2 linked regions of the Anolis sagrei genome follow. The protein of the gene in region 1 purifies or fractionates together with the protein of each later gene. This does not show direct contact. Links are inferred from orthologs where the notes say so. Each region holds a gene or a part of one and is shown in the gene's direction. Other genes may lie near its edges. The genes, in order: PKMYT1 and CCNB1.

Region 1 (3,923 bases):
GAGAGCAGGGCCTCTCCTGATGATCTTAAGCTTTGTGATGGTTCATAGCAGGAGATACGTTCAGACAGGTAATCTGGACCAGAACTGTTCAGGACATTAGAATCATAGAGTTGGAAGAGGCCTCACGGGCCATTGAGTCCAACCCCCCGCTAAGAAGGAAAATTACATTCAAAGCACCCCCGACAGATGGCCATCCAGCCTCTGTTTAAAAGCCTCCAAAGAAGAAGCCTCCGGGGCAGAGAGTTCCACTGCTGAACAACTTTCACAGGAAGTTCTTCCTAATGTTCAGATGGAATCTCCTTTCTAGTAGTTTGAAGCCATTGTTCCACGTCCAAGTCTCCAGGGCAGTTGAAAACAAGCTTGCTCCCTCCTCCTTGTGACTTCCTCTCACATATTTATACATGGCTATCATGTCTCTTCTCAGCCGTCTCTTCTTCGGGCTAAAAAGGCTGAGCTCTTTTAGCCGCTCCTCATGGGGCTTGTTCTCCAGACCCTTGATCATTTTTGGCCACATTCCAGCTTGTCAATACCTCTCTTCAATTGTGGTGTGGTTGTACATTGTACAACGAAATGAAATGCTTTCCCCAGCATTCATGACAAAAACTACACACTCCAAACATTGAGCCCTGGCAGTTAAAGTGGTGCCAAACTGTGTTAATTCTAGTCTAGCTGCATTTTGTCACTGACACAAGTTTGTCATTAAGTTAAGACTAAGAATGGGCAAACTTGAGCCCTTCAGATGTTTTGGATTTCAACTCCCACCATTCCTAACAGCCTCAGGCCCCTTCCTTTTCCCCCTCAGCCGCTTAAGCGGCTGAGGGGGAAAAGGAAGGGGCCTGAGGCTGTTAGGAGCGGCTGAGGGGGAAAAGGAAGGGGCCTGAGGCTGTTAGGAGCGGCTGAGGGGGAAAAGGAAGGGGCCTGAGGCTGTTAGGAATGGTGGGAGTTGAAATCCAAAACATCTGAAGGGCACAAGTTTGCCTATGCCTGAGTTAGACACCGTAAGACACAGCCAAGACGTGTCTCTTTCCTTCCTGTCAATCACCTCCTTTGGTGGCTCCTGATTGGCTAAAAGAGAGAGAGAGAAAAAAAATGGCGGGGGAGGGGGGGAAAAGAGGAAAGGGGGCGGGGCTTGTGCCTTCCCGCGCTCTTAACCCCCCCCCATCCTTTCCCTCGCTTCTGAGTGCGCGCGCACTGCTGCTGCTGCTGCCGCGGTGACGTAGGCGAGGCGGAAGTGGGCGAGCCCGTTTGGAATTTTGGCGCGAGCGCGGAGCGTTGGCCCCCAACGTTCTGAGGAAGGGGAGTGGGAGGGGTCGCCCTTGGCGCGAGGAGAGGAGAAGGAGAAGGAGAAGAGAAGAGAAGGCGGCTGCATCCGGGTATTTGTGTGTGTGTGTCTGGCGAGAGAGAAATATTCCCTCAACACTTCAGAGGAAATTGGAGAGGCCAAGAGGCAAGGCGTTCCCTGCCTCCCAAATATGGGGGGATGTCTTAAATTGGGGAGAATTGAGAGGGGAAGGAAGGGAAAGGGGGGCTTGACAGATATCCTTTATTGTTAATGGTAATGCTGTATATTGGTGGAAGCATGGCTCTTTTCTCCCTCCCTTTGAGAATTAAGGTTGCCAGAATGTTGTGTTATTATGATGTTAGTGATGGAAATATAGTCTTTTTCTCCCTTCCTGTGTGAATTGAGGCTCCTAGGTGTCACTAAAATTATTATTATTGTGTGCTGGAGGAAATATTATCCTGTTTTCCCTCCCTCTCAGTTAAAGTTGCCAGATGACATTATTATTATTATTATTTGAAACACAACAAGATCAGTCCACAGCAGACAAGATCACTCTGCTGGCTGCTGTATTGGATCGCACGTCAGACACTTCCCAAGTGTATTATTATTATTTTATTATTATTATTATTATTTGAAACACAACAAGATGAGTCCACAGCAGACACTGTGCTGACTGTTGTATTGGATCACATGTCAGACACTTCCCAAGATGATGATGATGATGATGATTATTATTATTATCATTATTATTATTTGAAACACAACAAGATGAGTCCACAGCAGACACTGTGCTGACTGTTGTATTGGATCACACGTCAGACACTTTATTATTATTATTATTATTATTATTATTATTTGAAACACAACAAGATGAGTCCACAGCAGACACTGTGCTGACTATTGTATTGGCTCACACGTTGGACACTTCCCAAGTATATTATTATTATTATTATTATTATTATTATTATTATTACTATTATTATTTGAAACACAACAAGATGACTCCGCAGCAGACAAGATCACTCTGCTGGCTGTTGTATTGGATCACATGTCGGACACTTCCCAAGTGTCTAGGACTGTGTAATGTATCGGCGAATAATAATAATAATAATAATAATAATAATAATAATAATTTTACTGACACAAAAGCACAGTATGTCACAGCAAACGAGATCTATATGCTGGATTTTGTGTCACAAAATCACAAGTTGAAGACTTCCCAAGCATCCAGGACTGTGTGATGTATTTTCAAATTATGTGTATTATTATTATTGTTATTATTATTATTATTATTATTATTATTATTATTATTATTATTATTTGAAACACAACAAGATGACTCCGCAGCAGACAAGATCACTCTGCTGGCTGTTGTATTGGATCACACTTCAGACACTTCCCAAGTGTCTACGACTGTGTGATGTGTCGGCGAATAATAATAATAATAATAATAATAATAATAATAATAATAATTTTACTGACACAAAACCACAGTATGTCACAGCAAATGAGATCTATATGCTGGATTTTGTATCACAAAATCACAAGTTGAACCCTTCCCAAGCGTCTAGGGCTGTGTGATGTATTTTCGAATGAGGCATGCAGATCCAACTAAGGTGGCCTTTTGCAGTTGACAGATTGTGATTTTGTCAATATTTGTTGTTTCCAAATGCTGGCTGAGATCTTTTGGCACGGCACCCAGTGCGCCAATGACCACTGGGACCACCTGTACTGGTTTATGCCAGAGCCTTTGCAGTTTGATTTTGAGGTCCTGATAACGGCTGAGTTTTTCTTGTTGCTTTTCCTTAATGCGACTGTCACCTGGTATGGCGACATCAATAATCCAAACTCTTTTCTTTTCCACAGTTGTGATGTCTGGTGTATTGTGTTCCAAAGCTTTGTCAGTCTGGATTCGAAAGTCCCACAGTATTTTTGCGTGTTCATTTTCCACCACCTTTGCGGGTTTATGATCCCACCAATTCTTTACTGCTGGCAGGTGGTACTTGTGACATAAGTTCTAGTGAATCATTTGGGCCACAGAGTTGTGCCTTTGTTTGTAGTCCATCTTTGTGATTTTCTTGCAACAGCTGAGGAGATGACCATGGTTTCATCAGCTTCCTTGCACAGTCTGTATTTTGGGTCATCAGCTGATTTTTCAATCCTGGCCTTAATTGCATTTGTTCTGATGGCTTGCTCCTGGGCTACAAAAATCAGGCCTTCTGTCTCCTTCTTCATAACCATAACCAGGTATTCTCCTTATCAACTTTTCCTTCAATTTTGTCAAGGAACTGCCCATGCAATGCTTTGTTGTGTCAGCTGTCAGCTCTGGTTTGGAGTGCAGTTTTCTTGTACTGGTTCATTGTCTGCTGTGCTTTTAATATATATATATATATATATATATATATATATATATATTATTACTATCATCATCATCATTAGGTACGTAACAATATTAGTACGCCGCAAACAAGATCACTATGCTGGTTCTTCTATTGGATCATATGTCGGATACTTCCCAAATGGCTAGGACTGCTTGATGTATTGGCGAATGTTGCGTGCAGATCGGAGTCAGGTGGCCATTTGCAGCTGACAGATGGTCGTTTGTCAGCGCCGATTGTTTTTAAGTGCAGGACAAAGTCTT
Region 2 (3,923 bases), on another chromosome or scaffold:
CTTTCCACTTTTTTATTTTTTGGGGAGACAAAGGTAACATTTATGTGTGAGAAAGTCGCCAGTGTGATGTCTGTACTCTTCACTACTTTTCTACCCTTATGTGTGAGAAGGAAACAAAGGATTTATTATAGCCTTTCCCTTTATAATCCTTGTATACAAGCTGGTGGTGCAGCGGGTTAAACTGCTGAGCTGCTGACTGAAAGGTTGGCAGTCTGAATTTGGGGAGTGGTGTGAGTTCCCGCTGTTAGCCTCAACTTCTGCCAACCTAGCATGCATGTTTTCGAACTGCTAGGTTGGCAGAAGCTGGGGCTAACAGCCGGAGCTCACACCACTCCCCAAATTCAAACTTGCGAACCCGCACCTGAGTTCTGCAATGTCTGTACTCAAAGCAACATTCTGGAAACATCATAACGCTAGCAGCATTGGGTCCCAGCTATTGTACTATCACCAATATTACAGTATAGTGGTATAGTACAATATAGTAATATATAATACTAATATTGTGCTATGCTAACAATATAATATCTTGTATGTACATATAATTTGTACGCCGCTGAGTCCGCTTTGGATTCAGAAGGGCAGCATATAAATGTTATAAATAAATAAATACATAAATAATAAAACATCTGGGGACCCACAGATTGATAACTATTGTATTGCATTGATTCATGGCTGCAAAAAGTCACTGGATTAATCCTACACTAGTGTAAATACGGCCTTGCTTCAATTGAGGATTAGGCCCACCTTCCCCTCATTATCTCAACAGCCTTCTCTGCTCCAGCTGAGTTTCTAATCTGGGGGTGGGGCGCGAGATGTCACGTGACCCGACGACAGCCAATCGCTTCCCTTTTTTTGAACGCTAGCAAAAAGAGTGTGAGGGGGAAAAAAGGGCCTGCCGTAGCCGTAGAAACGCATTCAAGGGTAGCCAATCGGGAGCGATCGAATCCGGCCAGGCAGCCAATGAGAGCAGCCGGAGCGAATTTTAAACTGGCGGTGAGAGCCATCGGACACTCGTGCATCAAACGGAGGCAGGAAGGCCGGCGGGCGGTTGTGAGAAGCTAGTGCTGCAGGAAGCGAAAGCCGGAGCCATGGCGTTGCGGGTCACTCGGGTAGGAAGAGCGACCTACACGCAGAGTTAACGGGGGAAAGGGTGCCTCGCCATCTCTCCTTGTTTGGGCTGCAATTGTATTATGAGTTACTGCTATAACCATATTTATATTTATTTATAGTCGCCTGGCTCGCTCTTAACTACTTTCTCCAACGTTGTATATAGGTTTTAACTCCTGAGAAAACTTAGTGAACTTAGGCTGTTTCTACATGGTAGAATTAATGCAGTTTGATACCGCTTTAACTGGCTCAATGGTATGGCATCATGGGAGTTTTAATTTGGGCAGGCAGTAGCCCTCTTTGGTTAAGAGGGCTAGAGAGAGCTTGCAAAACTACAATTTCAAGGATGCCGTAGCAGTTAAAGCGGTATCAAACTGCATTCATTCCAAAGTGTGGATGCAGCATATCTTTCAGATATGTTTCTATCACCCAACAGTCTCTCTTAAGCCAAAAAGGTTTGAGAAGGAAGTATTTCCTATTTCTCAGCTTTAATTTTCAGCCATGACCGTTAAATCGGTATCAAAATGCATTCATTCCAAAGTGTGGACACAGCATATCTTTCAGATATGTTTATATCACCCAACAGTTTCTCTTAATCCAAAAAGTTTTGGGAAGGAAGTCTTTCCTATTTCTCAGCTTTAACTTTCAGCCATGACAGTTAAAGCGGTATCAAACTGTATTCAAAGTGTGGACGTAGCATGAGGCGTGCCCTCTTTCAAATATGTTTATATTACCTCTCTTTAAGCCAAAAAAAGGAAGGAACAAAGAGCTTTATTTCTCAGTCGCGTGGTGCTAAGCACAAAGCTTAGTGAATTCCTATGGTAGGATTTTTAAGCACTTACATACTCAAATTTCCATATCTTACCCGCTTCTCATTGACTAATCTTTCTAAATCCTGCTCCCCAGGTGCCAGGTGTTTGTAATATCCTAGGCTTGTGTACATTTTCCTTCTTAAAGGGGTAGTGCTTCACCAAATAGGAACCCTACTTGGCATAGACTAGAATAGGCCTGGGTACACTTGGGCCTTCCTCTAGGTGTTTTGGACTCCAAATCCCACCATTCCTAACAGCTTCAGGCCCCTTCCTTTTCCCCCTCAGCCGGTTAAGCGGCTGAGGGGGAAAAGGAAAGGGCCTGAGGCTGTTAGGAATGGTGGGATTTGGAGTCCAAAACACCTGGAGGAAGGCCCAAGTTGGCCCAGGCCTGGACTAGAAAGTATATAATTCTTGCTCACACTGCTACTGCTTTATAGACATTGCAATGAAATCATAATAAATTGCATTCCTTATAAATGTGGAGCACAACACAGTTAAAGCACCTGCATAAAATACAAACAATACATTGCATCTATTGCATTAATTACACAATTCAATAAATTGAATATATACATTACTATAAAATATGTATATTAAATAAAAACACCCTGCTTTCTGCCAAAAAAAAATCTCTTGTGCCTTACCTATCACTTATAATTGGGTATGTTGTGCATGAACTCCCCAGTCTTTCAACCTCTACCCAGTTTCCCAGACTCGTCTCTAAAGAAAAAAAAAGTAATTTGCTTAGTTTCCAACAGGCCTCATAACCTCTAAGTATGTCTGCCATAGATGTAGGTGAAATGTCAGGAGAGAATGCTTCTGTAACATAGCCAACAGCCTGGAAAACTCACAGCAATCCAGTGTGGTATCATGTTTTGAAGGTGGAACTAGGATTCTGGTGAGCGGAGTTTGTACCTGCACTTAGGTGACCTTGAGCAGATCACACTCTCTCAGCCTCGGAAGAAAACAAAGACAGCTGCCCCTTTAAGAGAGCTCAAACACACAGCAGCCCAGTGTGGTATCATGTTTTGAAGGTGCAGCTAGGATTCTGGAGAACAGAGTTTGCACCTCCACTTAGGTGTCATTGAGCAGATCACTCTCTCAGCCTCAGAGAACAAAGATAACCGCTCCTTTAAGAGAGCTCCATCATAACTCAGAAAGGACTTGGAGGCACAGAACAGCAAAAACTCTGTAGAGGAGATACAGGACTAATGGATGAGGGAAGGAGGTGAGAAGGGCGTTGGCTGTAGTCTTACAAATGCTGCATCTACACTACAGAATTATGCAGTTTGATCCCACTTTAACTGCTATGGCTCAATGCTTTGGAATCCTGTGACCTGTCATTTGGAGAGGCACCATTCCTCTTCGGTAAAGATAGCTGAATACCTTGGAACACTAAGCTCACATGTTTTCATAGGATTGAGCAGCCAAAGTGGTGTCAAACTGCAGTGTGGATGCACTCTCCATCTTCCAGAGCAATTAAAATCCTTAATCTTTATTTACCCCAAGTTGCGTACATAGCAGGAATTTTAAAGCTCACTCCTTTCCTCCTCTGTCTCTGTTGTTATCCTCATGTTAGGCAAACCCTTCTGTAAAACTTGTGTTACCTATATGACCTAAATGTTCCTCTCTTTCTTACAGAACACGAAAGTCAACCTGGAGAACAAAACCAAGCCCGGAATGGCAGCCACCAAGCAGGTGATCGGGATTGCCAAGCCCACCTTGAGGTCTAGGACTGCCTTGGGAGACATTGGCAACAAGGCCTGCGAAGCAAAGCCCAGGGATGCTGCCAAAAAGGTAAAAATCATCTCTTCTTGTCCGTCATCCAGCAAAAGCCATGGTTTTCAAAACAACAGAGTTGTTGCACTGACTTCTTTCCTTTTCTCCTCCATCACTAAAATAGGAAACACTAAATCCTGCAGTTGTGGAGAAAGTTACCATTCGAAAAACCACAAGACCAGTTGAAAAGACAGTTCTGCCCATAAAGGAAGAAAAGCCAGTCCC

The links.
Region 2: the proteins of PKMYT1 (region 1) and CCNB1 purify together in Homo sapiens (affinity purification with mass spectrometry; 5 studies listed by BioGRID and IntAct, with this or other methods). This does not show direct contact. The link is inferred for Anolis sagrei from reciprocal best matches to the Homo sapiens genes PKMYT1 and CCNB1.

What each region holds. Positions count from the first base shown.
Region 1 is NC_090026.1:23,688,341-23,692,263, reverse strand, and holds the start of PKMYT1 (membrane-associated tyrosine- and threonine-specific cdc2-inhibitory kinase), read left to right. Parts: upstream 1-1,201; 5' UTR 1,202-1,447; intron 1,448-3,923. UniProt on the Homo sapiens protein: Acts as a negative regulator of entry into mitosis (G2 to M transition) by phosphorylation of the CDK1 kinase specifically when CDK1 is complexed to cyclins. Mediates phosphorylation of CDK1 predominantly on 'Thr-14'. Also involved in Golgi fragmentation.
Region 2 is NC_090022.1:266,459,040-266,462,962, reverse strand, and holds the start of CCNB1 (G2/mitotic-specific cyclin-B1), read left to right. Parts: upstream 1-889; 5' UTR 890-1,088; coding exon 1,089-1,109; intron 1,110-3,560; coding exon 3,561-3,716; intron 3,717-3,822; coding exon 3,823-3,923. UniProt on the Homo sapiens protein: Essential for the control of the cell cycle at the G2/M (mitosis) transition.